2 linked regions of the Arabidopsis thaliana genome follow. The protein of the gene in region 2 interacts with the protein of the main gene of each other region in a pairwise test. Each region holds a gene or a part of one and is shown on either strand. Other genes may lie near its edges.

Region 1 (16,866 bases), on a different chromosome or scaffold from region 2:
AAAGATTAATCTTTTTGGGTGAATGTAGCTGTCGAATAATACACTCGCGAAATTTTATAATGGACCTAGAACATAACACTACTTTAATTGGCAAAATGAAAATGGTTAGACAATTTTTATTACATAAGAAAAAGTTAATAATATATGCAAGAGGAAGAAAAATATTAAATAAAATTTAACTTGGGGAGTGTATCTTAATTAAAAGTTAATGTATCCAAGATTAGCCTTTGCATGTTGAGAATATGTTGCATAATGCATGAGAATGACACACACACTTGTGTCCCTTTAGATAATTTATGAAAAGCAAAAATTATGTTTTTTTTGTCAATGAGCAAAAATTATGTTTAAATCCATAAAAATATAGTAAACTAATAAATGGAGGGAAAAAAGGGTGAGTTAAAAATATATACATGGATGAACAAAATAAACAAAATATTAAGAATTTATACATAAAAATCTGTTATTTAGGTAAATAGACAAGAGAAATAAAATATAAACTAGAAATATCCTTCTTGTTTAGATTAATTACAAAAATATCATCGATTCAAAATAACTTTAATATTTAAAAATAAGTATATAACTATTTGTTTAGCAAGCTAACATATATAATAACGTGGTAAATTTACATATTCTATGTTAAATAAATGTTTATCGATTTAAAATTATGAATCAATATTATTATTTTTATATATATCAACACAATAAAAATACATCATGTTATATAATTAAAATGATAACGATTATAATAACATTTTACATAGAATAATAACATGCTAACATACTAAATATCGAAATAATAGTTGTCTCAACATGGTAAGATAATCGATATATGAATAATAACATGGTAACATACTAAATATCGAAATAATATTTGTCTTAACACGGTAAGATAATCGATATATGGATAATATTTATTTGAACGTACTAAATGTTTCATTTAACGTACTAATGTTTCATCGAACCTTTTATTTTTAGTTTAATTAATTTAGGGGTATAATTGTCATAAAATTAAAATAGTAGAAGACAACGGTGTTTTTTTTGTCAGTTAATTATCATTATTCTGAGGATAGATAGTCATATTACCCAAAAAAAAAAAAGTAAACTAATAAATGAGTGGCATGATATATAAGCTACATGCCCAAACACACATCCTTGTCTAACATTGGGCTCAAATAGATCTAGTCAAGTAATAATTTGGGCTGTCATAATTTATCAACTTCAATCTTTTTTTTTATATATATAGCAAAAGTTCAAAAGACAACAAGATTGATGGCAATGTATATTTGCACTATGAAAAAACAATAGAAGTATTAGATAATTAATACTTGAACCATTTTTTCAAATGAAACAGTTTTTCTTTTTGACAATAATGAAACAGTTTTAAAAAAAATTAGAAGTATTAATCCTGACTGATACCTTTTGACCAATACCAATTTCATAATATATGGTGATATAATCAACTTAACTACCAATCATATGAAACAAAATAAATAGCTAAATAAAAGAGAGAGTAAGATAAAAGATGAATAAAAAGACTACATAACGACATAATAGTTTTTACAATTTTAGCAAATTACTAATCAGAAAAAAAAAAAAAAAATTACTAATCAGAACTAAAATATCTTAAACAGACCAAACAAATTAGTAGTAGAATTAACATTAACAACAACAAAAATCCAAAAAAAGAAAAGAAAAGACATCACCAACTGTAGATAGTCTCAATCCAACAATAAAGACTAAGCAATACAATTTTTTTTTTTACCTGCTTACATCTTCTAAGTCCCTTTTACTGGCATTTCTTATAAACTGGAAACTTCACCTTCTTCTTTCATAATTTTCTCCTAACTCGCTTTACCTTTTCATAATTTGGTTATTTAACTTCAAGGTCTAGCTCTCTTGTTACTGCAAGTTGGGCATTTGTAATGCTTGATGTGTTCTGCTTTTGCAGGTGTTATCTTCACACATTTTCCATGGAACCATTTCTCACACGCGTCGCAGCAAATCCAGAACTCATCTGTACCGTAGTTGTCTCCACAAGCACCACAAACCGCACCTTGTTCATCGTCTTCACTCTCATCTTCACTCTCATCTTCTTCTTCTTCTTCTTCTTTTGGCGGTGGAGATGACATCTTTGCAACCTTTGAGAGAGATTCGGATTGGCGAGACTGTTTGTGAGGAATACAAAGAGATAAAACTTAGCAGAGATTGATAAAACAAAATGGTGAAACAGAAGAGATACCTTGACGCCACTAGGTTTGCTTTTGCTATTATTGTTGTTAACAGATAGATCCTTGGACTGCTTTGCATTGCCGCTCACAACTTCGAAAATGGTTGGCAGCTCATTAATCATCTGGAACAGCCTCTTCCTGAAAAAGAATCGGTCCATGGCATAAGCTTAAAGGCAAGTGATAGCTAAGTTGTTCAAACAAACCTAATGCCAGAGAAGAATTTGATGAGATTCAGAATCAACAACTCATTCTGCTCAAGCTTTTCGTTTAACCTGTCAGCTACCAGTATCAAATAATGGATTCAGTGATTGTTGCTGAGCTCTCAACAAAGGTACAATGCAGTGGAAACTACCTAGGCTAATTACAGTGATCCTGCACAAGACTAATACAAGAAGTACTAATCAGACTTAGAGGCACATATCACATCTATTGACTAATATATCTATCTCAATAACATTGATCCAGATTGGTGCGATTCATAACTCTAGTCACTTCAAAATAGAAACTGGGAACCACTTACAAAAAGAGTTACACAGAAACCGACCCTATAAATAAGATCACGTGAGTTACAAAAATCCACACAGAGATTGTTGTATCAGACAAATAGACAAAACAAGAGGATGCTAGAATGATCATTATAACCTTACCACACATGAGTACACCCAATATTGTCATAATTGAGATGCAACACTCAAAAACACTGAGCTTGAGAAGGACCCTTACCTCTCATTCTTGCCAAATCCGAAACGTGCACCAAAGTAAAATGCAACAGAAAGCAGCCATGAATCACTGTGAACTGCGACCAAAGATACCCAGTCCTTTTCTTGCATTCCGTCTCTAGCGAAATTGATGCCTAAAGCTGGTTCAGGAAGCTCAGGAGGAACTTCCTCAACGGGTAGATTAACCTCCCATGTCTCATTTGGAAGTCCATAGAGACACAAATTCTCCTTCTCTACATAAACAAGAATGAAACACCTTAAAGAAAAACCACACAGAGGAGGACTAACTAACTCAATCTTTAACCAACACAATTCAACAACATACAAGCTCAACAACTTCAACAAAACATTTCACTAGAAACTATAGAAGCTAAGCAAGACTAATTTTTTAAAAGTTGTGAAGAAATAACTCACCAGGATCACACGTTTGGTAAAACTTCACCATATCTGCATAAACAAAACACAAAACCCAGAATCGTCAAATCTCACAAAAGAAACCCAAAATAAAAAAAGTTCTTCTTTTTTAACAAATGAAAAACCCAAATGCCACAAAATCGTAACTCTGTAGATACTTATCATTCTGATTCGCAAGTGAGAAACAAGAATCAGACCAAAACTGACCATTAGTGAGAGCTTTAATAAGACCAGCTCGTCGACCTCTGAAGTCGCTAAAGACCTCTTCAACAGTACGAGGTATTGGATGAGTAATTCCCTCCATTTCACAAACGATGTCGCCGGAGAAATCGCCGGAGAATATGAGTACTCCGGTCAAAATCAAAATCTGAGACAAATGTTTCCAGGCAAACAAAAGAAACCCAGAAGGAAAAATATTCACTTTGGGGTTTCGGATTTGGAGAAATGAAATTTGTAAATCTCTGAAAGAGAGAGTTTTTTTTTAATTTGGGGGAAATTGAGAAAAGAAAAAAAGAGAAAGGAGCTACAAACCCTAAAACGATAAAACAAAAGGGACCGATCAAAGATTAATTTTGGGGCTGAGAAGTAATATTAATAAAGACAACATTGTCTATTTTATTATTTTTGTATTAATTAAATAAAGACAACATTGTGTATTTTATTATTGTTTATGTAATAATATAAAATCTATTTATTAATTCCGATCTACATACCCTATTTTTTTCCGAGCTACATTCCCCACTCCCAAATTTTACATTATTTTTATTTTGGTCAAAGACATTTATTTAAATTTTATTTTATTTTTAAAAGTGTCGACGAAAAAAACATGTATTTTTTTTTTTTAACATATTCATTTCCATTAATATTACGAAAAAAAAACATGTTTTTATACGTAGGCTGAGGCATCCAAATTGATCCACAAATTTGGTTTTTGTTTTCAATTAACTTGACCTTAAAGATAAAAGTTAAAAGTTAAAACATTCAGGTCCATCTTGTATTGTACAGAAATAGCATGCCTGGCCCATTAAAGGATAGTGGGCTTTTATAGTAACCTAGGGGAAATGAGATTTGAAGTTTTCAACGATCATCACATTCACGTATTTTGAAAGTTTTTTTCACGATATACACCAGAAATAGATATTTTGAAAGAGAAAGCTACTAAAAAACGGAAAACATTTTGCCTTTTATCACTCAAAAAAATAAAAAATTCATCAAATTTTTAATTATTTTATTGTTTTTATGTGTGATTCTAGATGTAAGAATTAAGAAACGAACCAATATTAATCGGATTCGTTATCTTTGAATATTTTTGCGTTAAGCACGTCGTACTAGCTAGCGAATACGTTTACCGCAACTGTAATCTAATTCGTCACAGAATATCAATGATGTGGTATAATCAACTATAATCTTCTTTTTTCTTTGGGCAAAATCAACTATAATCTATGAATATATACTTACTAATATAGGTGATAGACATATATTATTTAAAATAATCTAAGAAAACATGCAAATACGGTTACATCGACCGGTTAGAAAGGGAAAAAACTTTAAAATTAGTACTTTCGTATCATATTCAAGTCAGTATATATTAGGATTTTGCCACATTACATATATTATTAAAGATTGTTAATAATTAGGATTAAAAAGACTAGTATGAGAGTTAAGTCAAGTTTAAATTTGTTTTTCTCATTGAGAAAAAGGGAACTGATTTCTTACAACATACAACTGTTCATGCTGGTCATATCTGACAAAATCACGGGAACAACTGCTCTTACCAAATATTGCACGTCCTATGCTTTTTTTTTTTGTCAAACCCTAATTAGTCTTATATTTACAAAGACAAAAAACTAGCTAACATCTTTTATCTTTATATATTTCTATCTCAAAATTAGTTGTTGAATTCTTAAGAGTTAGTGGATTGTTTATCTATAAAGTCGCACTAACAGGTAACTAAAATTAAACATCTTGGATCTAATGCATGTAAATGACAATGCAAAATGAATTCTAATAAGTGATGAATAAACAACAAAAAATATCAACATTCAATTTGAAATTTTGAAATGGAATGAAGACCAAATTAAATATCACTAGGTTGGATTTACGGTTACTATTGTTATGGTTTAGTTAGTGTTTGGTTTTAGTCTGGTTTCGGTTAGGGCTCGTACATGAAAATCTAATCCAATAAGTTTATTTCTTCTTTGGTTTGTTTGAGAACTTTTGATACGGATTGCACTCCTTAGTCATTTTGTATTCATATATTACAGTGAATTTTTTTTTTTTAACTACGTTGAATCTAGCTTAAAGAAATTAACTTTAACACAAGAAAAAAAAAACTACTTAATTGACTATATATGTTGAGAATCAGTTCCATTACATAAACTCGCAGTAATCAATCATTGTCTATCGCCATAACAATATATAAGGAGTATGAAAATATGGCAAAGCAGCATTAATAATTATTGTCATGGATAATAATCATGATCTAATTAAATTACTTAAAAGGAATATTAGTATAGTGATCTCTGTTTCCATCTGGTACTATTGGATTCCACATATCCCACAAAGCATTGTTTGGAATCGTTCCTGCAGGAATCATGTTCATAGCTAACGCCGCTTGAGTTTGAGGCATTAGCGTTGTCGCTGTAGTCGCCGCAGCCACCAATTGTAATGCGTTTGCGTTAGCATTTTGTTGTTGAGTATGATGAAACTGTTGAGCAATTTGAAAGTATTGGTGATTGATGTTACCTCCATCTGATATTTGGTAGTTAACTAGTCTTTGAAGATCGTCAACAATGGCAGTTTCATCATCGTCTTGATGATTTCTCGTAGAGACTATCAATGTGTTGTTGCTTGTGTCGTAAGGCATTGGACGATATATGTTTTGATTGGCTAGAGCAATGGTAACGTCAGAGTTACTGTTTGTGGTCGTTGTTGTTGTGCTGCCGTCGCCGGAATATTCGGTGGAGAGCTTCTCGAGATTGTTGATGTTGTTGTTGTTGTTAAGGTTGTTGTCGGAATGATTAGAGGAGGATGAATGGTGTTGTTGTTGTCTTAAGGCTAAACGGGATGATGTCGATGAGTTATGGTTATGATGTCTTGTGGAGAGAGAACGTGGTACCGATGGATGATCTTCTACTCCTGGCCTTTTGTACACTCGGCACAATGATATTTCAGCCTATAATTATACATGAGCACATTGATTAGAGACTTGATACATATATCAAATTATCAAATATAGACTAACAATATCTATGAAAAATATCATTTATCGAAGATATGGTTTTGAAAGAAGATTCACAAACTATGTAAAGTTAGCATTAGCAAAAAAAGATAGCACGTTTAGAAGAAATTTAGAGTACTATCATATGACGTAACAATGCAAATATAATTAAGATGATTATATTTATTATTTTTTATATATTTAATTGCGTAATTTTAGTTTTATTAGTACAAGTGAATGTGCAATACATACACATAGATAATTATGTCAACCCTGTTGTTTTAGCTGTCTTATGCATACATCATAATATCATATATATACATAGAAAATTTTATAAATTTATGGTTTCAAATGGTGACGACATATAAGTCGAAAGAGCCCAAAAAATGTATTTATCTATCCATTGTCATTTTCCGTATACATAATATTTTTTCGGTCTACTCCATAAACCGTTATCATTCGTATAGATTTTAAATGTTCGCATATAAATATGTTGGTATAATTCATATATGCCAAATTATTTCAAAAAATGTTGGGTAACTTAAATAGAAGACATGAATTAATGTGAGGAAGAGCAGGAACATTCATGTCATAAATTGTAAGAAAAACTAACTATGTCTCTGCAGAATTAAGGTATATGAATGTCGAGTGTGATACTTGTGTGTTTATATATATGTGTATGCATCTATCTATTAATGTATTCTACTATAACATATGGGCCATGTCTAGCAATTTAAAGAGTTCACGCATATGACATGAACATTTTTCTGGATTTAAGCGCAAACGCCGCCTGACATTTAGTCCATTCACAAGTATTTTTGATCTTATCGAATCAATTCCAAAATAAATAAATAAAACTAGTCAAAAAAGAAAAAATTCAAACTGTCTAGGGATTAATTTCAATTTTAAAGGCCTCACCACCTAGCTAGGGTTATATCTATGTATGTATGAATAGGATATATATAGAGTTATAGTAGAATTTATACCTTTTGGTACTTCTCGGTTTCATGGTGCGGAAGACGATACTCGTTCATGATCCAACTAGTACGAGTGCCTTTAGGGGCTTTACCAGAGTAGAAAACTAGGGTTTTCTTTAATCCGATAGGCCGAGAAGTCTCCGATCTGATCATCCTATCAGCTCCGGTGGCTTTCCAATATCCTGAAGTCGTTACTCGGTTCGGTCTATCTCCATTTCTATATTTCCGATCTCTTGGCACATAGAAGTACCACTCTTTCTCTCCTATCGCCGCCATAGCTGCATATACATATATCTATGATTAAACATACATAAGCTAATTATGAAAACATACACATATTTGTATATCTTATGATATATATGTAGGTTGTTTAATTAGGTTAATTTAAGAAAGAAACTAAAGAGGGAGAAGCGTTTAAAGATATTGAGAATTGTTAACGATCGACATAGTAATACTTCATAAGGAGGTAGGTACATATATAGGTTAAAAAAAAAGAAATAGAGAGAGAAAGTGATAAGAGAGAAGAAAGATCTTAACATATGAATAGAAATTAAGATTTCCAAATAGTTTGAGATGATTTATGTGTGTTTATGTGAATGTATATTTACCAGGAAGTTCCCAAGGATCATAGCGATAAAGATCGAGGAAAGTGATGAGTTCTACATTAAAGCGTTTGCCTTCAACTTTTCGGCGAAGGTAAAACTCTATGAGTTCTTCTTCGGTAGGATGGAATCTAAATCCGGGCATGACCATGTCATGATCATGATCATCAGCTTCATCTTCATTTTGGACATGACTCTCTTGGCCGCCTCTATGATCATTGTCTTCTATACCTTTTTCGTTATTGTTGACTTGGTTACTCATGGGAATGATGCTTGTTGTGGAGGATACAATTGCCATATATCAAAAAGACTAGATATGTGTATGCATGTGGATTAAGGTGATATATGATGATGAAAAGTGATTAAGGGTTTGCTTGGTTTTTATACTAACAATGGAAGGGAAAAAGAGAGATGAAATTGAGTGGTGTTGAGTAGAGATAAGAGGAGGAGAAGAAGAAGAGAGGACGACTATATAGGAATGAAACGTCATCGTTTTTGGGAGTTGAGACCAAACTAGAATAAGACAAAGAGAGAGAAGAAGAGAGTTAAGGAGGAGACAAAGACTTGTCAAATTGAGGACAGGGTGTCCACGGTTTTGTTTTCTTAGCCGTGCCTTTGGACCTTTCTCTCACTCTCCATTTCTAGCTTTTTGTTTCAAAATAAAATAAAATATCTATCTATTAGTTTTATGTATTTTTTCTAAATACTAAAGTTTCAAATATTTAATAATTATTGGGTTGTAACACAAATGAAAAGAACAGTTGATATCTTTTACAGGAAAAATTAAAGTTTATGTATTATAAACGAAAAAATATTTTGAAACAATATTACGAATTGACATCTTTCAAATGGATGTCATGGACCTCATGGTTACTAGTTCAATTATACTTGGAAAAAATAATAATTAATGTTTTAAATGCAATATCAACAATTGGTGTGGACATACGAAAAATATAGACCGAAAGTCTAAAATTCCCAAAAACTATCATTCTTAGAAAAAATATATCATGGTTTTCTTTATAGTTTTATTTGCACATGCACCATCTCATGCACGTTAAAGATTCATTAGTTTTAGTTAGGTATATGATTGGTATTTTATAAAGACAATCTAAACTTTAGAGAATAACAAATTAAGTTGATTTCATGTATAATTTATGTGTAAATAGTCTATATTTTGTTTTGGTTTTTGTTCCAATCCATCGCTACAAAAATTGCGAAAGTGTAACTAATCTAATTCTCCTGATCAAGGCATAGCGATAAAGGATCCATAATAATTCATTGTTATAGGTAGACTAATTGAATAACGGATATTCTTAAAACAATGTTAAAAATTTGGATTATTATAGTTAATTTATTCATCGTTGAGACAAAGAATTCTGATTGGTGGCCTATATTACTAATTAAATAATAATATCACGTATGCTTACTATGTCACTCGTCATAAATATATTTACGTGTTTTTCATATGCTTCAGCTTCACGAACGTTCTCTTATTGTTTCGCTATTTTTTTTATGATATATTTGGCCCACCATATCTTCATTGCATGATACTACTATGTCTTCAATTATGAATGCAAAACAAACTGACCATGATTTTGCCAACGCTCTCCATGTTCCTATGACTTAGTAAGAAGCTGAACTTACAGTACATATGTTAGAATTTAGAAACCCGCCAGTTCTTTAAAATTTGTATTAATATATATAGATACAATATATTATATTTAGATATATGTATCTATAATCTATATGTATAATTGTTCCATTTTATTAATAATTCAAAAAAGTAAATAAGATATAGACACAAAACAATAAACATCGTAACAACATTAGCATATATATATATATATATAGCTGAGCTAAAAAGGCTAGGCAAACTGTAATATATTTAAGTTCATCATGGAAAGATAGATAAAATATATACTAAGTACAAATTTCATACTTACAAGTTTATATGGAAAAATGAATTTAAAGTATCAACGTAAATGAGATAATGAATGAAATTAAAGTGAGGTGGTAGTGGGGCTTCTACGAAACGAGAGTGGGGTTTTTAGAAACCTTACTCTACGTTGTAATGACTTCATATTTTATATTTTTATTTTGTCAAATGTTTCAATGGATGTCATGGACTTCATATTTTTTAGAAATCCGTGAATGCATATATCTCATTCACAACAAATTTCATTGGATTGAGCTCAGTGTAGACAGACATTTTTCAATATGGATGTCGCGTACCAAAAAAGCTTATGAAACGTGGAAAAGATAAACTATTCAACAACCATTAATTAGACCATTGCGATATCAGAAAATGAACTTTTTTGTGTTGTTAATTCGAATCTTCGTCAAGAAAATTATCTAGTTACATGATTTTTTTTGTTTTTATGTTTAAACAATTTATAATATATTTACTACGAACTAATCAAATAGTAAATCAGTAGACATACACATATTTCAAAAATTATTATACCAGTTTAGTTTACATAAATGTATAGCTTTTGGATATATATTTAAGGTTTTCATTAAAATGAATGTAGGTATGAAAGGAAATATTATGTATGACATGGAATCATAGGCATGGACCCTTCGAATATTGATATCAGTAAAAATATAAAATGGCGATAGAAATTAGGAATTAAATGTATTATAAGAGAGTTTAAAAGTAGATTAAGCTAGTGCATAATTTAATGCAAGCGAGTCTTCCATCGGTTTGGCTTTTAGCTAGGGGTAGCAAGTAGGGTGGCGGATATTATATAATGTACATTCCAGAAGATTAAATCATTTTTTCAGTTTAAAGTTTTTGCAATTGTAAAAAATTAAGACCTTTTAATTTTAATTCGAAAAGAACATATATTTCTATTATTATATATATGACATATTATTAACTTATATTTTGTCTTCTGATTATTACATTTTCACATGAGTTTGTCTTCGTTAAAGTTTTAATTATTATATACTATTGTACATATACAGCATAATAGCAACTCAGCAAGGGATTACTTTGAAAGTCTTAGAATCTTCAAGCTTACTATTTGGCTAAATATGCAATATATATACACGCCATTAGTTTGTGCTTTAGCAATTGATTTAACCAAGCTGTAAGAAGATAATTCGTCTGGTAATTGTTGTACCATTACTCTGTAAACTTTGGGTTGTACTCTTCATTTTTTCTTGCTGTAAAAAGAAAAAAAAAACACCTAAAGCATGTAAAATTCTCATATTGCTTTAAACCAAAACAAAAAAGGAAAGATACAAAACGTGGTGAGAAAATATAATATAGTTATAGAAGTTGTGAATTTTAGAAGGGACACACTATATACACTTGAGTCTGATTGGAAAACAAATGTTATAAAAGTGCATAATAGCTGTAAGAATTTCCTACCGATCATACTTTTGCTTAAATCAATTATAATATGAAACGAGGAAAAATTTAAAGCGGGTTCGAGAACAAGAATTTAAGGATTTGAAATAGGATGATGCTAGAATAGGTCCAGTAATAAAACCCCTAAAAGTCTTATGCGATCACTATCACAAGTCTTGTCCTAACTAAAATAACACTTTTAACCAATTATCGATTCGTTTTTGCCCAGAATAGAATTTAATTGGATTTGGTTACCATCATTACAATTTCATTGGTCATCAGTTTTTGTAGTTAGGTGATTTTAGTTTACTTTTACAAGTAATAATTGAACTTTAGTATTTCATTATTCCACCAACTTTATTATTATATACTAGTATAATAGGCACACTCTTATGATTATTGACCCTTCTTTTTCGCAATAATAAATATATTTCAGATTGTTTTGGGATGTATCTAGATTCCAATGACATGTATGGACAGATTGTTTTAATATAAAAAAAGTATATGCTCTCCAAATCAAGATTTGGATCGTATCTTTTACATTCTTGTGTGCTATTAATTATTAAACTTTCGATAACTTAATAAAACAGAAATTTGAATCGGTTAACCAACAACACTATCTCGTTTCTCATCAAATCGTGTACTTAAAATAATTAAATTTATAGTGATAATATAATTTGGATATTAGATTTTATGTAATCCACAAACATCATTTTCAAATTAATACTATATTAGTATATTAGTCAAACTTATTAAGTTTATATTGAGTATCCTTCACTATCAAATCTCTCTTACTTTTTTTTTTTCTTTTCTCTTTTTGGGATAATCTCTTACTAGAATGTTGTAGTTAAAAGAGACATTTTTAACTTCCAATAAAATCATTCATATTTAGCTTTTGTTGGTTGAACCAATGACTATGTTAATAAGACTATATTTTTCCTCGTGATTGGCTATATTTGTCCTGGTCTCACGTAGTCGGAAAATATCTAGAACAGTAACTGATTTTTCTTCATAGGTATTTAGATATCTTATGTTCAGAGAAATTACCAAAGAGCCTCTACACATATATACCGTATGTAACTATGTACTGTGAAAAACGAGCAAAATAAATCATATTATTTAGATTAAAAGATTATGGTGGGAGTTAAAATACTTTCATGAGTTACTTACTAATGATTTAAGTTTTGCTAAGAGACTCTTGTTGGTAGAAACTTTCTGTAAGGTTTTAATCATAATTAAAACAATATATTGTTGATCATAATCTAAAATGGATTTTTCGTTTCAATTTTAAAGTCAATCATACTGTAATTGCATCATGTTTATGATTGTTTTTTTAAATTCTAAAACGCAACTGTTGTAACAAAAAAAAACTTCACTAAATACATGATATTGACTCTACTTTAGGGTAGAAATATGTCAATATAAGATCGTGTAAATTACACACACAATCCTGTCTTGGGAGCCACAGGCATTTCGTGGACTTGGCCTTCTTGGCGGTTGTCAACCCTTTCTCTTGGCTCTTTTTGCATTTACTCAATTGTTTGTATTTTTATGTATTAATTAATATCTTACATATATGTCCCATTTCACTTTCATATTTTTTTTGCATATCTCACATTTGGGTTTCCATATCCAAAACGAAATATCCTTCTATGAGTTATGAATAGTTACGTCACATACAAGAATTACCTATTCGTCTAACTGATTTTGAAAGTTTCATAAATGAGCCATTTAAACTGATGAAATGCTTCCTTAAATGCTCAAGCGAAAGAATTTACAAGATAATAAATTTACAGCCACACAAAAAAAATAAAAAAAAATATTCTACATTTTAAGAAAAGAGAAAAAATGAAATACAGTATATATTTATGCTCAATAGCCAATAGGTGACGCCAACGTCTTATATCATCATGAGCCGGCCTATGAATACAAAGGCATCGTCCATGATTGATAAGATATTTGCAAGTTGTTAGAAAATGATAGGAGGAAAACTAAAATTAAGGTATTATTGGACAAACAAATATAGGGATAATATAATTATATAAACTATTTTCAAGCTGATTAAATAGTTAACTAAGCTCCAAAAGTATGTTTCTTAATTTTTTCTTACAATAAAGATAAGTTTTTCCTCTCTGTGTTTTTTGTTTTTGTCAATTCCTCTCGGTGCTTCTTATTATAACATTTTTACTCTATATCACCACAACACGAGTCAAAAGCCAATATTAATATATTTCAAGCTGATCTCCAGACTTATATACACGGGATATAAATCTCTGGTATCAATCAGTTGCAACTTGCAATATATAGTGCTAAAATTCTACAAGATAATTAAACTGTGTATAATTACCACTAATGTAAACAATGAAACTAAATTGGTAATTATAAATTTAGAAAGAAAAACGAAAACCTGAAGATTTTATGAATGATAGAAATATTAAATTAAATAATTATTTCACGTTGAAACGATATGTTAAAAGGTATGAAAGTGAAAAGATTGGTATGTCAAACAATAAATAAACCAAAATATGGGTTTTTTTGAGGGATGGCTATTCTATAGAATAAAACCAACCAAATTGCATGGAAGAATAAGACCGACGTACAATTTTATGTTTATCTTGTGTGTGTGTTGTATGGACCGCCCAGCCAATAATGCAGCCACAAGTTGATCGAAGAATGATTTGTCTTCATTTACACAAAATTACAAAATTTAACTTTTATTTTAATTTTAATTGTGGGGACAAAACTTAATGCATGAAAATGACGTATGTCGCATCTCTTCTACGATCCATTCCTTCAAAATAAAAATACTTTTGATAGGTAACGATATTTTCATTCATATAGAGAATCTCAAGAATTTGTTTGGACCGACCAGGCAGCATGACCTCGTGGAGATCCGAGAGCTAAGTCCATTAATGAAAAATTTTTGAACGTTAGATTGCGATGATAAATGTTTCTATAAATTCTATAGAGTTCATTAGTGGAAATTTATGAAATTTGTTTTGTTGTATCGCTTTTATAAACGTACGCGAGTACATTGATGAAATGGATTTGAAAAAAACGTTATGTTCAACAAACGAATCAAAGTCTTCTCTAAAATAATTAAGAAATTAAGTCTATTGGTTTGGTGATGTCAAAATGTCGAGAACTCGAGACTGAAAGTTCAAAAACATAGAGAAGAAAACGAAGAGTATGAGCGTGACCTCATGGAAATGGATAAATGACGTAGGAAGATCTAATCGGACGATAGACAACAAGACAAGAGGCCCACCAGCACCGTCGGATTTAATGAGGATGGGGTTAATGAAAAAAATGCTTGACTCTCTGACTAGACGGACCCAGGACTCGACTCTGACAGTCCGTTGACTCTCTGACTTTAAAAGTAATTTGATTACACATATCTACCAGAAATGTGTTTTTCCCTTTTTTAATAACAACAAACCAACTTCTCGTTGAGTATTTTTTACCAAATTCATTTTAGATCTAGAGTTCTCCTCCAAGAATCACGCTGTAGGGGACCTTCTTATCTTAGTTCTTTTCATAAGAATCGACACAACTACGTGTATATCTCCACAAATATCCTGAAGAGACAAATAATATTAGACATACTATAAGACTAAACAAAGAGAGCAAGGCTTCGAATAGTAACCAAACCGCACAGTGCGGTGCGTTTCAAATAGTAACAAAATTCTTTATATATATATATATATATATATATATATTTTTTTTTTTGTTATTATTTGAACCGCACCGCACTTTATCTGCAATTAAACCGCACGTCTCCATTCGAAATCTAAGACTATTTTGCAATGGATCTACGAGTTGATTTTGTTATCCAACAATATAAATATTATCTAAATCAATTCTAAATTTAGTTTTAAGAACTTATATCTCGATTCAAAATGTTTGTTCTCATTGATGGTAAACGTTCTAAATTTTTTGAATGGAGTGTCCATTAAGTTTGTTAGAACTAATAAAGTGAAATAAATAAGAAGTACTATTAGGACATATAATGGTCGGAGAAGTCGGGCCATGAAATGTCTCTTTGTAGGACAAAAGATAAATAAATGACAAGGCGGATATCTCGTGAATCTCTTCGTCTGTTTCTTCCGTTGACTTAATTTTATTAATTATCACCAAAATAATTTCTCTTATTTTGTACGTTTTTTCGTAAATTTATTTCTGTAATGTTTCCATGTTCTTTTTGATCTATTATTCTCTGTTTATCGTCACTTCTCTCGTACATCCGATCCATCTTCTGTTCTGTCATGATGATATATCTTTACGTGTGTGTAACTTTGTCTATACACGTGTTTTTATATATGGAAGTTTTTTATTGAAAGTCAACGTGTTCTAAACGACAATTTTAACTTTTTTTTTCTGTGTATTTCTGTATATATAGCTTATATATGGATTCGTGTATTTTTGTGCATTATTGAAATCTCTCACGGACCTCATCTTCTTATTAAGGTCAACGAGTCTTGGAAATAATAGAAGCAAACGAAAACTGGATCATCAAGGAATATTGTTTTTGATTTTTTATGTACTTCAATTCATCTTTAATTAATGTTAGAAAGATGAATTAACTTGTAATTCTAACTTACCGTTTATAGAGTAAGTTATATTTTGAGAACGATCAAACTTGTAATTCTAATTAATTTCATTTATTTATTTTAAGATCGTTGAGATTTAAAATATAAAATTTTAGTCTAAAACTAAATAATCGAAAAATATATATTAATTTATACATAAGATTAGATGGTTGAGCCTCATATATAATATAAATGATAATATGATAATGATATGATAACAAAATCATCTATATAAAAATAATAAATTAAAAGCATTAAATAAAAAATACGTTGATTTAAATCATCCATGTTAAAATAATAATTTAAAATACTAAATACAATATGGTAATTAAAATCATCCATGTTAAAACTGTGAATTAGAGTATTAAATGAAATATGGTGATTAAAATCATCCTTAGAAACAAGAAGTAAATTATGATGATTAAAACTGTCTATATTAAAAAGTTAAAAACAATAAATAAGATGGTGCGTTAAACAACCACATAAAAGCATTATATTTATAAAGGGCGTTAGAGCCACGCTCCGATAAAAATATAGATTAACGTGGCCGAGTGATGATGCTAATAACATGTTGTAATTTAATAGAATTTTGTATCGTAAGTTATCTATCAATTTTTTTTTTTCATGTTCTAAAGGGAATAATAATAAATATACTATAAGAGAAAGAAATATGAGAAGGAAAGCAATCATGAAAAAAGAGTAATAATAGAAAAAAGCTTTACGTTGGTTTTCTTTGTATGAAGATGAATGTTTTTACAACTG
Region 2 (16,885 bases):
AAGATTGACTAACATGTTCCATAGCAGCCTGAGCGGCGAGACTGAGCTTGAACGGCGAGAGAAGTGATATGGCCGTGGCACTCATTGCTCTCTTCAACGATTACTCTCCGACTCGGAGTCGTAAATCTCCGAGTAGGTTAACCTCGGTTCGCACGATGGAGCGGCTGTGGAGACAGAAATCTCCGGTTTGATAGCCATCGCCAGAGAGAGAGAGAGTCGAGAGATAGACACAGCGTTTTTTTCTTCTTTCGTCAATAATATTCAGCCAATCACGACATGACACGTCATCACTTTTCTCTGGTTGCAACCCACGTCAATGCTTTTTTATTTAATTTTATTCTACCCAGAGTTTTTCTTTCCCAATCCAATATTGTGATTAAAAAAAAAGAAAGGCAAATCAGATTTATGTATTTTAAAAATGAAAAATAAATAAGATAATAACAAAAAAAAATGGAATCTTTCCAAAAGAAAATCTTCTCATTTAAATTTCTTCCATCAAAATTCTCATTTAATTTGATTTATTGGGATCATTGGAGAATGTTAGTGGAAGAAACGTTTACAGAGATCAGAGAAATGAGTCTATATTAATAAAGCAAGAGCAAAAATGTGCCTATTCATAAAACCTTCCAAATAGTATAGAAATTGAAGTATTAGACACTAAGGACAAAATAGTCTTTTTAGATACCACTGGTGTTACTTACTTCTTTTGTCAGATTATGATGTTAAAAATTTAATAACTTTATTGTACTTATTTCTTTTGTCAGATTATGATGTTAAAAATTTAATAACTTTTTCCACAATGGTTACTTTTGCAAAAGACCCTATAATAAATAATATGATTCCAAATCCCACCAATATAACAAACGTAGTAGAATCCTCTACAAATAACGTCTGTGACAACAACATAAACACACAAGAACCATTTTAGAAGTTTGAGTTCTTACTTCTTCTTTTTTCATCATCATCTTCATTCTTCAATCAATCATGAAAATATATTTTAGCCACAGTATCATACGCAATCCTCAACCAGAAAACGAGGGCACAATCACAGTAAATGCAAAGATCGACGGTTACAATCCCACGTTTACTGGTTCATCTTTTGCCGAACAATTCCTTGACGAAGATAACGATGAGTGTCGATGCAAAGAATACTTCAATTACTTCTTAATGGAATCAGGAATCGGCGACGACGATACCATATTTGCACTAATAAAGTTCAGGAATCGGCGACGACGATACCATATTTGCACTAATAATGCTAAGTGAATATGCTATTGCAGTATGTGATCGTAGTAACTATTCTACGGGAGATGAGTTGCTAGTGTCCTTGCGTCTTATTCCTACCTTTCAGATTGGAGACGCGATTCCAATTGGAGAAGAGTATCAGATGGAAGAAGCGGTTCGAGCCTCGTTGGAGGAGACCAATAATATTAGTTTGAGGCCCGCAAGCAAGCTCGTGGTCAAGTCTTTAGCCAGGAAGATATACAAGATGACCACTAGTTCTACTGGTGAAATGTGCATAATTTGTTTGGAAGAGTTTAGTGAAGGAAGAAGAGTTGTTACTTTACCTTGTGGACATGACTTTGACGATGAGTGTGTCCTAAAGTGGTTTGAGACCAATCACAGTTGCCCCCTCTGTCGTTTCAAGTTGCCATATCAATGAACTAGTTTGATGCCGTCGCATGAGTCTTTTTCCGTTTTGTATCCGTGTATTTTCCGATGTAACCTCGTTCCTAACGCTCTTTGTTAACAATATCGGGTCAAACCTTCTTTGTAATGCTTTTTTAAAGTTAATTAATATAATTAATTAAATTTTAGAAAAAATAAATTAGTTTAGCAACAAAATCTGTAGATTGGATTTAGGTCAATTATTCTAATTTTCGGATTTTCTATACTATTACTTTCCTTTTTTCTTAAATTTTGGAAAACTACAACATATTCGTTTCTCATTTTGTATTGCGTATTTACCGATGTAACCTTGTTCGTAACGCTCTTAAGGATTTTTTGGTCAAAAACCCAAAAATGGGTCAAATGAGTTAGGAATACCTTTATAAATTGATTAATATAATTAATTAACTTTTTCTAATTAACTATTTTGGCATACTAATCGGAAGTCTCATAATGTTGCAAGCAGAATCGTCCGTCTTAGGTAAGAATAAGATCGTTCATCGTAGGTATGATCCACCATAAAGAATCGTTAGGTAGGAGATCACTATGTTAGAGAGAGAGTTGCACATCGTGGAGTTGTTTGTGGATTCGTACATCATAATCGCATGAGTTGCGTATAGTTAAATCTGATAGTTTGATCATAATGTGTAATTTAAGATTAGATTAAAAAAAATCTATGTACATATTTAAAAACAAAAACAAAAAGACTGTAAATTGGATTTAGGGTTTGTCACAAAAGTAGAAATTATTAACCACAACCAAATCTTACATGGGCTATACATAAAGCCCCAGAAACATTAAAGGCCCAAAAAGAGCTCAATATATCACCGCTTGTTGTTGAAGAAATTTTCGTCGGACTCCATCTTAGCCACATGTCAATAACCGTTTGAGCGTCGATTCTGGTGAAAAAATCATCACCGAGATGAATCGATCAATGGTTCATGTGTTTACCACCATCACGATGGAGGAATCTTTGTTAGACAGTATCATATAAACTCTTTTTTAATCTTAAAATTCAATTCTTTTGGCTCAAACAATATTTTGGCCAACACCTATAAAAACATTAACATATTGATATATTTATCATTCTTGTAACGTCGTAATATATGGTAGACATGACTTTGACGATGAATGTGTCCTAAACTGGTTTGAGACCAATCACGATTGTCCCCTGTGTCGTTTCAAGTTGCCATGTGAAGATCAATGAACTAGTGCGTGGTGTTGTCGCCGGGGTCTTTTTCCGTTTTGTATTTGCCGATGCAAAACACCTTTTTCCGGTTTTGTCAACAATTGTATGTGTCAAACAAGCGTAGTAACGCCGTTAGTTAGTATAATTATTTAATTAAAAGTTAAATCAGATTTCTAGTATTTAAAAATGGAAAATAATAAATATGTTGCCGACCCCATCAAAAAAATAAAATGCATGCAGAATCCTCTATAAATAACGTTGTGACAACAACATAAACGCCAGACACAAATTCCATCAACATTTTGATTTCTTATTTTATTTTTCATCATCTTCTTTTTTCTTCAATCAATCATGAGAATAGATTTCTACCACAATATCATACGCAATCATCAACCAGAAAACGCTGGCACACTCTCAGTGAATGCAAATATCGACGGTTACGACTACACATTTACTGATACATCGTTTATCGAAGAATTCCTCAACGAAGAAAACAATCAGTTTCCCACCAAACAAAAATTACATTATTTCTTGGAGGATTCAGAGCTAATTAACGATTACGATATGGAATGGGGTACTGCGATATTTGAGCTAATTTTCTATGTTGTTGCAGTAACTAATCCCGCAAGAGGTGACTATTCTCCGGGGGATGATTTGCTTGTGTCCTTGCTTATTTTTCCTAATGATGAACCGATCGAAGAAGAGTATGAGATTGAAGAAGAGGATTTGAGTGAAGAAGAGGATCAAATTGAAGAAGCGGTTCGAGCCTCCTTGGAGGAGACCAATAATATCAGTTTGAGACCCGCAAACAAGCTCGTGGTCAATTCTTTAGCCAGGAAAATATACAAGAAGACCACTAGTTCTACTGAAAGGTGCACAATTTGTTTGGAAGAGTTTAACGATGGAACAAAAGTTATGACTTTACCTTGCGGACATGAATTTGACGATGAGTGTGTCCTAACGTGGTTTGAGACTAATCATGACTGTCCACTGTGTCGTTTCAAGTTGCCATGTGAAGATCAATGAACTAGTTTGATGCTGTCGCCGGAGTCTTTTTCCGTTTTATACCCGTGTATTTTCCGATGTAACCTCATTCGTAAAGCTCTTTGTTAACAATTTTAAATTAAATATCGGGTCAAACCTTCTTTGTAATGCCTTTTTAAAATTAGTTAATATAATTAATTAAATTTTAGAAAAAATGAAATAGTTTAGAAACAAAATCTGTAGATTGAATTTAGGGATAATTATTCTAATTTTCGTATTTTCTATAGTATTCTTTTCCTTTTCTCTTAAATTTTGGAAAACTACAAATATATTCTTTTCCAGTCTTGTATTGCATATTTGCCGATGTATTCTCATTCGTAACGCTCTTTTAAGATTTTTTTTTTTGTCAACAATCCAAAACATGGATCAAATGAGCTAATAACGTCATTTTGGGTTGGTTAATATAATTAATTAACTTTTTCAATAAACTAGTTTGGCATACTAATCAAAAGTCCCAGAATGCTGCAAGCAGAACCGTTCGTTTTAGTCTTCCCTATAGAGATAAGATTGTCCATCGTAGGTAAAACATATATAAGTAAGAATCGTTAGGTAAGAGATGACAATGTTACGGAGAGAGTTGCACATCGTGGAGTTGTTCATGGGTTCGTTCATCACAATCGCATAAATTGCGTATAATTAAATCTGATAGTTTCTGGAGTTTACATGCTCTTGTTTCGGGCCTGGAGGATTAAGAGCTTCGGCCCAGAATCTCTTGATATTCAAAAAAAAAAAATGTCGATTAATTTAATTATTATGTGTAAATTAGGATTAGATTAAAAAAAATTATGTACATACTAAAAAAAAAAAAAAAAAAAGGACAGTAGATTGGATTTAGGGTTTGTCACAAGAATAGATATTATTAAGTTATTAACCATAACCAAATCTTACATGGGCTATACATAAAGCCCCAGAAACATTAAAGGCTCAAAAAGAGCCCAATATATCACCGCTTGTTGTTATAGAAATTTTTGTTGGACTCCATCCTAGCCACATGTCAATAACCGTTCGAGCGTCGATTCTGGTGAAAAAATCATCACCGAGATCAATCTATCAATGGTTCATGTGTTTATCACCGTCACAATGGAGGCACCTTTGTTATACAGTATTATATAAATTCCTTTTTTTAATCTTAAAATTCAATCCATTTGGTCTCAAACAATATATTGGCCAACACCTATAAAAACATTAATATATTGATATACTTATCATTCTTGTTAAAGGTAATATACGGTTCCTAGACAACATCTCTTATACACAAATGCCTAAAACTCCCCTGAGTATATGACACAAGCTCACACATACAAAAACATGTACACACACTCTCTCGCTGTCTACATATATATATTTATCTTAGACATTGTAGGCAATGGCTCAAACTAGTCCTTGGTCAGACATAAGTCCAGTCATCATACATACATGAGCCATGTCTTGAGTTAGTTCGGTTGCTGCAATCACCAAAGATACAGAGACATATTCAGTTTGGTGTATCATCTACCTAGATAGTTCCAATGGAGGTGTGAACACACAAACCTGGTTGTAAGAAGTCTGACCAAACATTGAATCTGGAACCCAATTTTGATGATGGTGGTGATGATGATGATGATGATCATTGACAAACATGGACTGATCATGAGGAATCTGAAAGCAGCCACCATTATTATTAGCCATGGGATCATACATTGAAGGATCTTGTTGTTGTTGTTGTTGTTGTTGCTGTTGCTGTTGTTGCAAGTTGTTCAATTCCATTTCAGATTTTATCTTTTTCTCTTGATCTTCTTCCATTCCCAAAGTAGTACCAAACGGTGTAGGATATGAATATTCCTCTCCAAGTTGTTGTAACCCCAAACAACCGTTTCCTTGTTGTTCTAACTGCTCAAACTGTTGTCCCGGGTTGCTGCATATCTGATCTTCTGGTTTCGTAGACTCAAAGAAGCAGCTTGAGTAAACGGGAATCGAACCATCCATCTCTCTGTTTGAAACCAGTACTTGAGTGAGCATTTTTATAATGAAAAGGTTTTTGAAACTGTGACTTTATTATACTCTTACCTATGGGGAAGAAAACTGGAATCACCAGGTAAGATTGTTTGCTGGTGATCATTATCAGGAAGCCAAGACATGGAGTGAGCTTCTTGCATACTACTATTACCTCCCATCGCCATAGGCAACTGTATCCCGCTGTGAAACTGCAGTAAAAGGCTTTGGCCTGGTTAAGAATATGTCCTGAGGAGAGACAAAGAGAAAGAGAGGGGAAAGGCGACAAAATGGTTATAACCTGTGTTGTTGCACATTCTATTGGCAAGAGTTGGTTCTTTCTGTAATGTTCCTGCAAAATGAATGGAAACATCTTTTGTAAACAAAATTTATATGGGTTCAGGAAACTGAAATGAATCCTGAGTCTTAGGTCTGTATGATCGAGAAAAAGAAAATATGATAACGCACCTTGTGAATCTGGATTCTTTCAATGGATTTCCTCAATGATTCTTCCAATAAATCGAGGTGCTCAGTGTTTTCTATTCTATCGATGTTCGTCCAACAACTGAAAACAGCCATTAGAAGAAAAAGACTCAAATATGATTGAAACTATATTTCAAAAAGCAAAAACTTTATAACTCAAGATACTATAAATTTTCACACCTCAACCTCCTATGACACTCCATTAGCTGAGCTTGGTAAATGGCTACTTGGTTACTTAGACCCTGTCGTGTGGTAATGTTAACACAGACTTTAGCAATTTGACTCAAAGAGATTAAAAAGTATCCAAGAAAATTCATGAACCGAAGATGGTCGATCCATACCTCAATAGTTTGATTCCTGCAGGATAAAGAAGACAACATCTCAGATATGTGAGAGGCTTACAATGACAAAATATGGTTATTAATAGTAAGAACTCACGGCAAGTACCTTGCTCCTAAAAAGTCATGTATATTTACATCATGATCCAGTTTCTTAAAAGTTTTCTTCAATGCCTGCAATTGAGCAAAACAAATCAGCTCAAATTTGTGTTTCAAAAAAAAACAAAAGTTGATGATATACACAGTGAGTTTTTATGTCTTTACTTCAAGGCTCTCCAGTTTCCTGTAATATTAAAAGAAAGAGACTTCAATTTAGGTTCATAACACAAAATTACATCAGGATTGATAGTAATTTAAATTTTCAACATAATGCTTACCATACCTTTTTGTCCTTTCTTGTGGAGTTAATTGCGCAAACTTGGAAATAACCTCTTCAATGCAACTACACAAAAGCCAAGTTAAGACTAAAATCAGTATATTGCTAAAAACTTGAATACAGAACCTCAATCTCTCATCCCTCTGAGAGATTCAGGAAGCCAAATCACTCACGAAGAACATTATCTAAGAACTGATAACAGAAAGGAAACTATAAAAAAAAAACTAGGCTCTGTTTTAGAGTCTCTAATCTCTCCCAAAGCCAAAAGCTCCCAACTAAACCAACTGGTCAAAATACCCCTTATCTGTGATCTTCTAAATACACTCACCATTCAAACTAAATCCTTATAAAAACTTTCAGTTCCTAAACCAAAATCAGTGAAACCTTTTTTGTGATAGAAGAGCAATGAGAAGATTACACAATGCATCAAAAATGGAGATATGATGCATTTAAACACAGAACTAAAGATGATAAAAGAACAACAAAACATAAGAATGATTTTGATAATTATACCTGTGTTCTCCATGGAAAGCAGTAGCTCTTCCGGTAGGGGAAAACATAAGAAGGACAATATCAATATCACACAAAATCGATAACTCTTTGGCTTTCTTCAAAATCCCATTTTTTCTCTTCGTGTATGTAACTTGCCTGTTGCTTGTGCTCTCAAGTCTTTTAATCTTCAACTTAACCCTTCCCATCCCCTGTTCAAAACCAATACAGCATCAAAATCCCATAACCAACAATGAAAATATTCTAAAGACTAAACATTTTCTTCGAATACTCACTTCAATCACCTGATAAAATTCTACTTATTGGAAGGAATTGATTGTATATTTCTCCCTATTGAGAAAATGATGAAACTTGTTTTAAAAGAAGAAGAAGAGCACCAATCTTTGAAGATGGGGGACGTCTAAATTCGGACACAGAGTCTATCTCTAGACAACAAAATTCACTGTAACGGAAGATGTTTTTTTTTTAAAAAGGGGTCTTTCGCAGCAGAAACAGAGGAAACAAAAATGGGTGTTTGCGTCGAAACAAGAGAAGAATTCATGAAAATGAGCACAGAGGAGGCGAAAGTCACAAAGAAGAGAAAGATCATGGAGGAGGAAAGAAAGAAAAAAAGGCACCAAAAAGATTTGTCCCGAGGAAGAAGAAGGAGGAAGAAAAGTTTGAATAAGAGAAAAAGGGGAAAGATTAATGGTGGAACAGAGAGAAAGCTCACAGAAGCAGACGAAGGGACAACCTTTTATTTCGCTGGGAAACTTAAGACGTCGACCAACGGAATTGTGTGCTTCTGTGCTAGAGAGAGACAAAGGTTTAACCAAACCGGTTTTGTTAATTCAATTGCCTTAAAAACCGACAAAACCAAACCGTTTTTTGTTAATTGATTAACATGTGTATTCGTTGGGCCAAAGTAGAAAGCCCATTAATATCTTTGACTTGTCTCTGCCCTAATTAGCTCCGCCTCTCTTCTTAAATACGTCTATTTATCACTTCTTGATAAACCCTAGAATTGACCCATGTTAATGTTTTGAGATTTGATCTTTTTGCAAGTTTTTTGGTTGTTTTTGTTATGTATATTTTGATTTTGATGCCTGTGATGGTGTTAAATATACTTTGAGAGATGCGTCTCTACGAAAAAAAAATCAACTCTGAGGCATTTTTTCTCTCTCTTTACACATCTGGTTTCTCTTATTTTACTGTGATCTTTGAGCTTATTAATGATTTGGTTTTGGTAGCTCTTCTAGCTTCTGATTTGATTTGGTTGCCTGATTTATGCAAGTGATGATGAAAAGACAGGGACATCAGAATCTCCTTGTTAGGAGATGAGAATGATGACTAATGTCTAGATGGGAATCTCTCTGATGCATATCTCACAGACTGTTTATCAACTTTGATCTAGTATTTTCTGTTTTGCTTCGTTTTGATACTCTTTTGGTGTCTTTTGACTAGTGCAAGTGACGATGAATAGACAGGGACATCAGAAGTTCTATAATGATGACTAATGTCTAGATGGGAATCTCTCTGATGCACATAACTAAGAATCCTTTGCTCATTATTTAACATTTTTTTGCTTGGGTATTTAGTTGGTTTTGCCAATGATGTGCCTAAACAATTGCACGTATTATCAGATTTTTCAGTGATGAATATCACTTATGTCTGAGGCAAACCGTGAATACTGTCTACAACAAATGTTTGTTCTGTTCTAATCCCTAATCATTTATTTGGATTTCATTTGAGCTCTATTTGCAGGAAGAATCACTTGCAAGAAATAAAGTAGGACGTCACAAACATGAAGCTGGACTCAAGCCAGCAGAAGATTGTGAAGATTAGATGAGAAATTTAAGGTTATGTCTAGATTTTGTATGTGCTTCATTTGAATTGTAAAACAGACCCTTTAGTTGAACCTCTTCTCTAAATAAAGATTCATTTGTTTCTTGAATGTAATCTTTCAAATTCAATGAAGTATTTGATACAACTGTTCATTGAAAAAATAACTTCAATCTAAGCAAGTAGCTACACAAAGAAGAACAGAATCACTATCAGCATCACAAAGAGAAGATGACACTTCTACACTCTTTGAGTTTCTTTTTTACAAGTGATCAAAAAGGATAAATAGAGAAAAACAAAAACAAAACAAAAAATCCAAACATGAATCATTCATCATATTCAGACAAACATGTGCAAGATCAAAGAGAATCAAGACTCTCAGTTCTGCTTCTCACAATCCGATGGAAAACTTCTCTTACTTTCCTCTCAAACGGATCCAAACCATTTCTCAAAGCTTCACGAACTTGAACAAGCTCATCAACTCTCTGTTTCACCTCAACTTCCTTGTCATCATTCAACGGGAAATGAATCGAATCGATCAATTCATTCATCAACCTCGAACTCTTCTCAATCCTATCAATCTCCTTAAGCAAACCACAACAATTCTTCCTATCTCTTCTCTTAGATTCCTCAACAATCTTATCGTGCAACGACATAACCGGAGCTGCCCATTGGAAATGCCTAGGCACAAAGAAGTTAACTTGCAATCCACGGTCTTGACAAGGAATCGCAGCTACCAAAACCCACATCACAAAAAGCAAAACCGAAGTCATTGTGTAAACCGGTACAGCTAAACCATTGCTAGCAACGACATCGTTTGGTCGAGGCGTTGCCAAGTTACTCGCTAAAGCTTGTAACTGCTTAGAAGCTGACCATGATCTTGAAACACTCCAAGAAAGAGATCTGAAATGACCAATCGAACGGTGGTGACTGTCTTTGACTCTTCCGAATGAACGGTTACGATGAGCTAGATTGGTTCCAGAAGGATGATCTTTCTCGTCAAGCATTCCGATTGCTAAATCAATCAGAGCTTTCTTAGCTCGCCGGAGCTGACCTTCTCCGATCGGACGGTGACTATCTAAAGCAGAGATCACAATATCGGCAAGTTTCTCCCATTGACGGATCTGTTCGATACCGTCGCGGATGGCGTTACAGACATCTAGAGCTTTGATGCTCCGTTCGAAGTAATCTGAAATCAAACGGTCCATCGGAGATTTAGAGATCTGAGATCGGTGGTTGAATACGATAGCTCGAAACTCTTCTTGACAACAGAGGAAAGAATCAAGAAGCTTTCCGATCCATTCGAGAGAGAGAAGGTCGTTTGAAGAAGCGTTGAGATCGATGAATTTCTCAGCGACTTGTCTTTGAAACGAATCTAGCTCAACCTCCATGGTGCTTGGCTCGTGGTGGCTACTACTTCCGGAGACGACTGTTGATGAGTCAACTTGGTCTCGCCGTAAACTTAGCAACGACCTTCCAAATGATCCTTGAAAATCCGTAGCTGGCATCCTCAAAACAGATGCAAAGTGGGAAAAACAATCAGATTTTTGTTTCTGTAGAAAATTCTCAGACTTGTAAAAAAAGAAGAAGACTTTTTTTTTCTTTGTTGGATTGAGAGAGAGTGATGATGATGATTGATGAAAGCTAGAAGAAGAAGAGATGTGTTTATAAAGCGAGAATTTTGACCGCGTATTTTAATATCTGCTTTAGAAACATTCAATATTGGATAATTTTCTCATTTTCCTTAACTAAATAAAAAGAAAGGTGTGACGAAATAAAAGCTATAATTTGATTTGTTGTGTGTTCTCATTCCTTTTTTATTTTCTCTTTTTGTTACTCGGTACAGTACACGCAGTGGACACGTCTAGTGGTAATAAAATAAAAGTACACAGATCTGTCTGTAATAAAATCTCAGTTTGAGGAAATTCATTGGTCACGGGGCTGTGGTATATGAAGTCGAGAATGAGACATTAATGGGTGCCACGTGGAGAAAATGGGAGCTGTGACAGAGACTTGGTCAATGCAATGCACATGTGGATAAAAAGCCAGCTAAGTCTTCGTTGGCGTGTATTGAAGAGAGAGATTGGTAAGTAAAGGGACTCGGTCCTGGTTGATTCTTTCTCGTCGTTCTAGAATGCTCAAGGACACAAAAATGTTGACATGTAATTTTGTCTATATCCTTTTTTTTTTTGGTTTAATGTTAAACTTTACACCAAATAAAAAAAAAGGTGTACATTGTACAATGAAAATCTCAAAAACACACCAAAAAAGGCTAATATAACATTTTATTAAAAGAGATAACTATGAGTTGTATCACAACTAATGAGGTGAATTGATAGAACCAAAGTAAAACTCAAGGAGAGAAATGCTGATAGTGATATCCTCCAGCGAGAAGGAGATGAGACGACTGCGTATAGTGCGTAACAAGAGACTCAGTAGCATGGATGGTACTAGATTCATTTGAGAAAATCGTTTTATTACGCTCATTATTAATCAGATAGATCGAGGTTTGAAGAAGGAGTTTCAAGATCTTACTTACAAAATGTGGAGGTGTGGATTGAACATTCAAGATCCACAAGGAGGCTGACGGAAACGAGATTGTCTATATAATCGTATGATAGTATAAATTTTGTGTTGAAATGTGTAATGGTGTTTTTTGGTAACCGAAAATTGAAATGTATTATTATGAAACTGTATAATGAAAAAAAATAATTATAATGGAATATGGTAAATATGTGTCATTAACAAGTCATCAATCATGTTTGGGCCAGAATTAAAATTGTACAACTATAAGAATTAATTGACACACGACAAAATACACTACATGCAGTGATGCAGATCTTTTTTTTGTTTAAATAAAAATGTTACATCATATCTCCTGTCATGTGTTCCTAACACACACACAAAAAAAAGAAATATCTGAAAATTAAACTTAAATTTGAAAAGAAAACAAAAACAATAAACCACACGTGTGGTTTACAATTACAAGCTCGAAGAGGCTTTGAAACATGGAAGCACGAAGGTTACTGACAAAGACATGACAAGCTCTCCTTCTTCACCTCTGCTAACTTATTTTTTGTTTTTAAAGATTGATTAGTTTTGGTTTTTGTCAGGTAGAATCGTGCAGAAGCGTATTTCCCGCTAATTGTTCCTCATCAGACTCACTTTCCAGTCTATACGACCAATTAATTTAGCCCCAATTGACTAAATTTTTTATACTTAAAAATAATAAATATTCACTCTGACCAACTTGCGACCGAAGAAATCAAGAAAAGCAAATTAAGATAGTTTACCAAACATAATTATTTATATTTTTAAGACATCGGATGTCGTCAACAATAAATTTCTGAAGGAGACAATTGCTCCTAACATGATCGTTCAATGATTCAGAACACAAGACAACAAAGAAGTACATAACATATATTATATATATGGAAGCTAGAGAGTATATATAATGTTGCATGACTGATATAAGAAAATATATAATGTGTATGTAAAGTGGTTTATGATTCACAAGTTAGTTTTCTACTTAGTAACAGCTTCTTCAAGCTCTCTTAAGCCACCAACCTTCTGTTCAATTTCTTCGATAAGTTCTTCACGCCATAGCTCCGCTCTTGCTTTCTCTTCTATGTCTTCTTGCTGCATCATATAACCCAAAACACAATAACAACTCTATCCAATCTTATAATAGTTGTACACATTGTGAATCTGTGATGATATACCAAAGGTCAATGGCCCGAGCAAGCCCAGCCCGACCCAACTTAGGATCAATGTTACCTACCATCAGATCTGTTAACGTTTGAATTATTATATCAAGCCCAACCCGGCTCAAACTTACTAAGCATGATTGATCTATCAATAGGATGGATCAATGTTACCTACCATCTATCAGATTGTGACTTTCGTTTAGATGATCAAGGTTGTGGATTCATATTTTTGGGTGCATATATACCAACGGTAAACGCTAACCTAAAAGCCACCTATTTTTCTTTGTTTAGGGAGGTTTATCGCATGCTGAGACACATGGAGGAGTACTCAAAACCGGCTCTGAACAGGTCTACATGGCCTACTAAGACCAAGGTGGGATAGTCTGAGGTCAAACTAGATCTGAACTGGTCCACAGGGTCTAGTAAGACCACAGCGGGTTGGTCGGTCCATTGCAACATCCCTAGTTATAATTTGTATGCATTTCTAAGTTTTTTTCTTTCTTTCCTAATAGTATTAGAAAGGGAGAGATACATACAGTTTCATAGACCCAATATCCAGTTCCATCCCCTCCATCTCCACGGTACTCCTCTGAGTCGTAGAATGGATCCTGTATTGATCCAATATCACAAAGTACTATTAAGATCCCAATGCAGCAAATGTATCAAAAGATTCAGTTTGAGTTGTTGTTTTCATACTTTTGCTGAACCGAAGTACAAACATCCCCAACAAGTGAACATGATGTAGAACATATCTGCCATATCAAGATCAATATCAAAACATAAGAAAAAGAAGAAAAAAAAGTCTAAGAAAGAAAATAAAATCTCTCAAGAAACCCCAAGTGTTTAACTTACAAACATTCTTGATAGCTTTATCACTTAGATGCCACACGTGTTTCTCTGTAATGATATCACGCATTCCTTCTATTTGTTGAACCATCACAGCCATTAATGGCAAATCATGTGGCAATGCCTTTCTTACACATAAGCTTCCTCTCATCAAATTCCTTTCCCTCTTCTCATTAACATTCTTCTAATTTTTCAAATTCTAAGACGTAAATTCACAAGAATATGGAGATTTTTTTTCTAATTTTAGTCTTAGTTAGAGAAAATTACTTACAGATAGCCAATATCCATGATTCGGTCCTGAATTCTGCTTCGGCTACAACACAATACACAATTCTTAAACTTTTTTTCGTAATGAAATATTTTTGGTAAGAATATAAAATAATATGTACCGAGTGATTGTAGGAAGAAGGAATATGAAGATTTGTGAAGGTGAAACTTGTGAAAGCTTCAGCCATTGTTACTTCTTGATGGTGGCAATGGAGAAGAAAAAAAAAAAATGTTGGTGTAATCTTTTTTATTTTTTCATTTATTTTAATCTTTAAGATTAGATTTTTTGAGGCAGAAAATGTGTGGATAAGGGAATTGGTATCGTCCACTCTTCACTTTTGTGATAAACAAAATAAAAAAATAACGTACGTTAGCAATCACATCGCATAACACTTTTTTTGTCTTTTAAAAGCCCAATTTAGACAATCACAGTACACATTTTAGCCTTCTAAAACGCTCAGGTTGGGAACAACTATTTGCCTTAAAGAGTGGTAAAGATATTTCCAGCAAAATTCAACTACAAACTTTCGTATTTTACCCGTCCAACAAACTTTCCATTCGCGCAGGTTAGCAATCACTAAACACGTTCACTCCTCTAGACGTGCAAGTTAGTAACCACACTAAAATTGCTAATAAATCTTTGGTTGGTGAAATTCAAACTTTCCGCTTATGTCTCTTCCCAAATACATCATTTGTTGAATAGCGTACGTTGGCAACTATTGCCAAACTTTTAATGATATTTCCATCTAATTCAACTTCCTATGCGCGCATGTTAGCAATCATCCCAAATACATCATTCGTTGAATAGTGTATGTTCTATTTGCCAAACTTTCAATGATGTATATCCATCTAAACCAGCTTTTATTCGCGCATGTTAGCAATCACAATAACACGTCTACTCTTCTTAGCGACTAGTATTTTGTCAAAAGTCGGAAGAAAATCTCCGGCCAAGTCAACTTCTATCGCTTTAAAAAGCGCATGTTAGCTATTAAAAAGCGCACGTTAGCATCATTTTCGGGAAATTGCTAATCAAACTTTCCACTTTCGTCTTCTTCCCGTGTATATCTTTAATCTCCTCTGTTTGGTGACTATTATCCAATTTCCACCGATCTTCTCCTCATAAAAACACCTCTTCCTCAACGAATTTTTTATCCATGAGTCGCATAATGGGATTGTTCGATCTCGAGAAACACTTCGCCTTCTACGGTGCTTACCATAGCAATCCGATCAACATTCTAATCCACATCATCTTCGTTTGGCCAATCTTCTTCTCAGTTTTACTTCTCCTCCACTCGTCGACCCCAATTTTCGACCCCTCTCAATTAGGGTTTTCTCAATCGTTGACCCTCGACGGCGTTTTGCGATTTAACGTTGGGTTTATATTCGCCTTGATTTATGCTCTGTTCTATATCGGTTTGGATAAGAAATCTGGATTTGTAGCTGCTCTTATGTGTTTCTCTTGCTGGGTTGGTTCCAGTTTTCTTGCTGTTCGACTAGGATCTTCTCTTGCCTTAAAGGTTAGATTTTTTTTCTCTAATTTCAATTTAGGGTTTTTGAAAAAACTTCATTTTTGGAGAAAATAATTGCGTAGAAGCATGTTTATGAGGGTATATGACTATGTGTATCCATGTGTTGCTCTATGTGTATATTTATATGATGTGAGTGTGGTTCATGCATTTATTGTTCATTGTTTTCTATGCTTTGACTTGAAAGTTCGTTTATATCATTGGTTATGCTCGGGGAAGAAGAAATAGATTTATTTATATCATTAGTCCTCTCTATCTGTTGTCTATGGGTCCCTTCATTAGCTGTTAACGTTGAGACAGCAGTACTAATATCATGTCTCTAGCTTTGAACATTCATGATTAGTAGTTATTGCAGTTTGTTCTGCAATTGTCCACCTTTGCACGGTTCTGATTCTTTGGTCCGGAGACTTGTCATGTTTTTAGTGTTGTTGACTCATTGGTTAAGAGGATTTGATGTGTGCTTGGACGGAAACAAGTGTTGTTCTTGACCACCAACATTTGGATGGTCTCAGATAATTAGAATCTACATCACTTGTTTAACTAAAGTTTGGTTTTTCTTCCATAGTATTTGAGACATCTGTAACTTAGGAGCTTTTTTATGTATCTTCTGTGTTGTGAATCATTTGATTAGTTTATATGTATCTTCAGTCTGAATCATTTGATTAGTTTGTTATATGTATTCAACAGCAAGGGGAAAACAGTTAATACTCACCAAGACGCCAACTCTCTCTGTTATGTAGATACTGTAACAATTTAATTGTCTTTTTACTCAGGTTGGGTTAGCATCTCAGCTGTTATGTTGGACCGGGCAGTTCGTTGGCCATGGAGTATTCGAGGTAAGTTCTCTGGCTTTTAGAAATCATTGTTTTGATTCTCCTTTGTGTCTTGTCATCCGTATACATGAGTCCTAACACATATGTTATTGATTCTTGTCTACTCACAGAAACGGGCACCTGCGCTGTTAGACAATTTACTCCAAGCTTTTCTCATGGCTCCTTTCTTCGTGTTGCTCGAGGTAAAAGTTGTTGGTGTTATGTTATGTTGTGATTTGTTTGTTATCTCCTGCTACCTTATTATACTGCTCTGTGGAAACTGTAACCAGAATACATGAAAAGCTAATGTGGAAATGTTTGAATGAA

Evidence for each region.
Region 1: the proteins of AGL65 (region 2) and LOV1 interact in a two-hybrid assay, tested with the Arabidopsis thaliana proteins (one large-scale study listed by BioGRID).

Annotation. Positions count from the first base shown.
Region 1 is NC_003071.7:639,636-656,501, reverse strand, and holds LOV1 (NAC domain containing protein 35), read right to left. Parts: upstream 8,965-16,866; 5' UTR 8,498-8,964; coding exon of another isoform or gene 8,459-8,497; coding exon 8,167-8,458; intron 8,025-8,166; exon of another isoform or gene 7,837-8,024; coding exon 7,568-7,836; intron 6,537-7,567; coding exon 5,853-6,536; 3' UTR 5,682-5,852; downstream 1-5,681. Other genes in the region: AL6 (alfin-like 6), read right to left, coding at 1,881-2,165, 2,240-2,366, 2,952-3,180, 3,362-3,394, 3,569-3,665; AT2G02455 (uncharacterized protein), read left to right, coding at 8,285-8,497. UniProt on the Arabidopsis thaliana protein: Transcription factor that acts as a floral repressor. Controls flowering time by negatively regulating CONSTANS (CO) expression in a GIGANTEA (GI)-independent manner.
Region 2 is NC_003070.9:6,458,148-6,475,032, reverse strand, and holds AGL65 (AGAMOUS-like 65), read right to left. Parts: upstream 8,367-16,885; 5' UTR 7,855-8,366; intron 7,771-7,854; 5' UTR 7,768-7,770; coding exon 7,583-7,767; intron 7,136-7,582; coding exon 7,076-7,135; intron 6,977-7,075; coding exon 6,958-6,976; intron 6,868-6,957; coding exon 6,803-6,867; intron 6,746-6,802; exon of another isoform or gene 6,736-6,745; coding exon of another isoform or gene 6,713-6,735; coding exon 6,536-6,712; intron 6,438-6,535; coding exon 6,341-6,437; intron 6,225-6,340; coding exon 6,174-6,224; intron 6,085-6,173; coding exon 5,948-6,084; intron 5,871-5,947; coding exon 5,432-5,870; coding exon of another isoform or gene 5,393-5,431; exon of another isoform or gene 5,347-5,392; coding exon 5,335-5,346; 3' UTR 5,049-5,334; downstream 1-5,048. Other genes in the region: AT1G18773 (acyl thioesterase-like protein), read right to left, coding at 14-85; AT1G18770 (RING/U-box superfamily protein), read left to right, coding at 985-1,082, 1,441-1,663; AT1G18760 (Zinc finger, C3HC4 type (RING finger) family protein), read left to right, coding at 3,209-3,883; AT1G18740 (ROH1, putative (DUF793)), read right to left, coding at 9,760-10,908; PnsB4 (NDH dependent flow 6), read right to left, coding at 12,926-13,039, 13,644-13,715, 13,804-13,859, 13,960-14,137, 14,225-14,266, 14,343-14,408; AT1G18720 (ER membrane protein, putative (DUF962)), read left to right, coding at 15,375-15,737, 16,520-16,582, 16,690-16,761. UniProt on the Arabidopsis thaliana protein: Probable transcription factor that forms a heterodimer with the MADS-box protein AGL104 and is involved in the regulation of pollen maturation at the late stages of pollen development and pollen tube growth.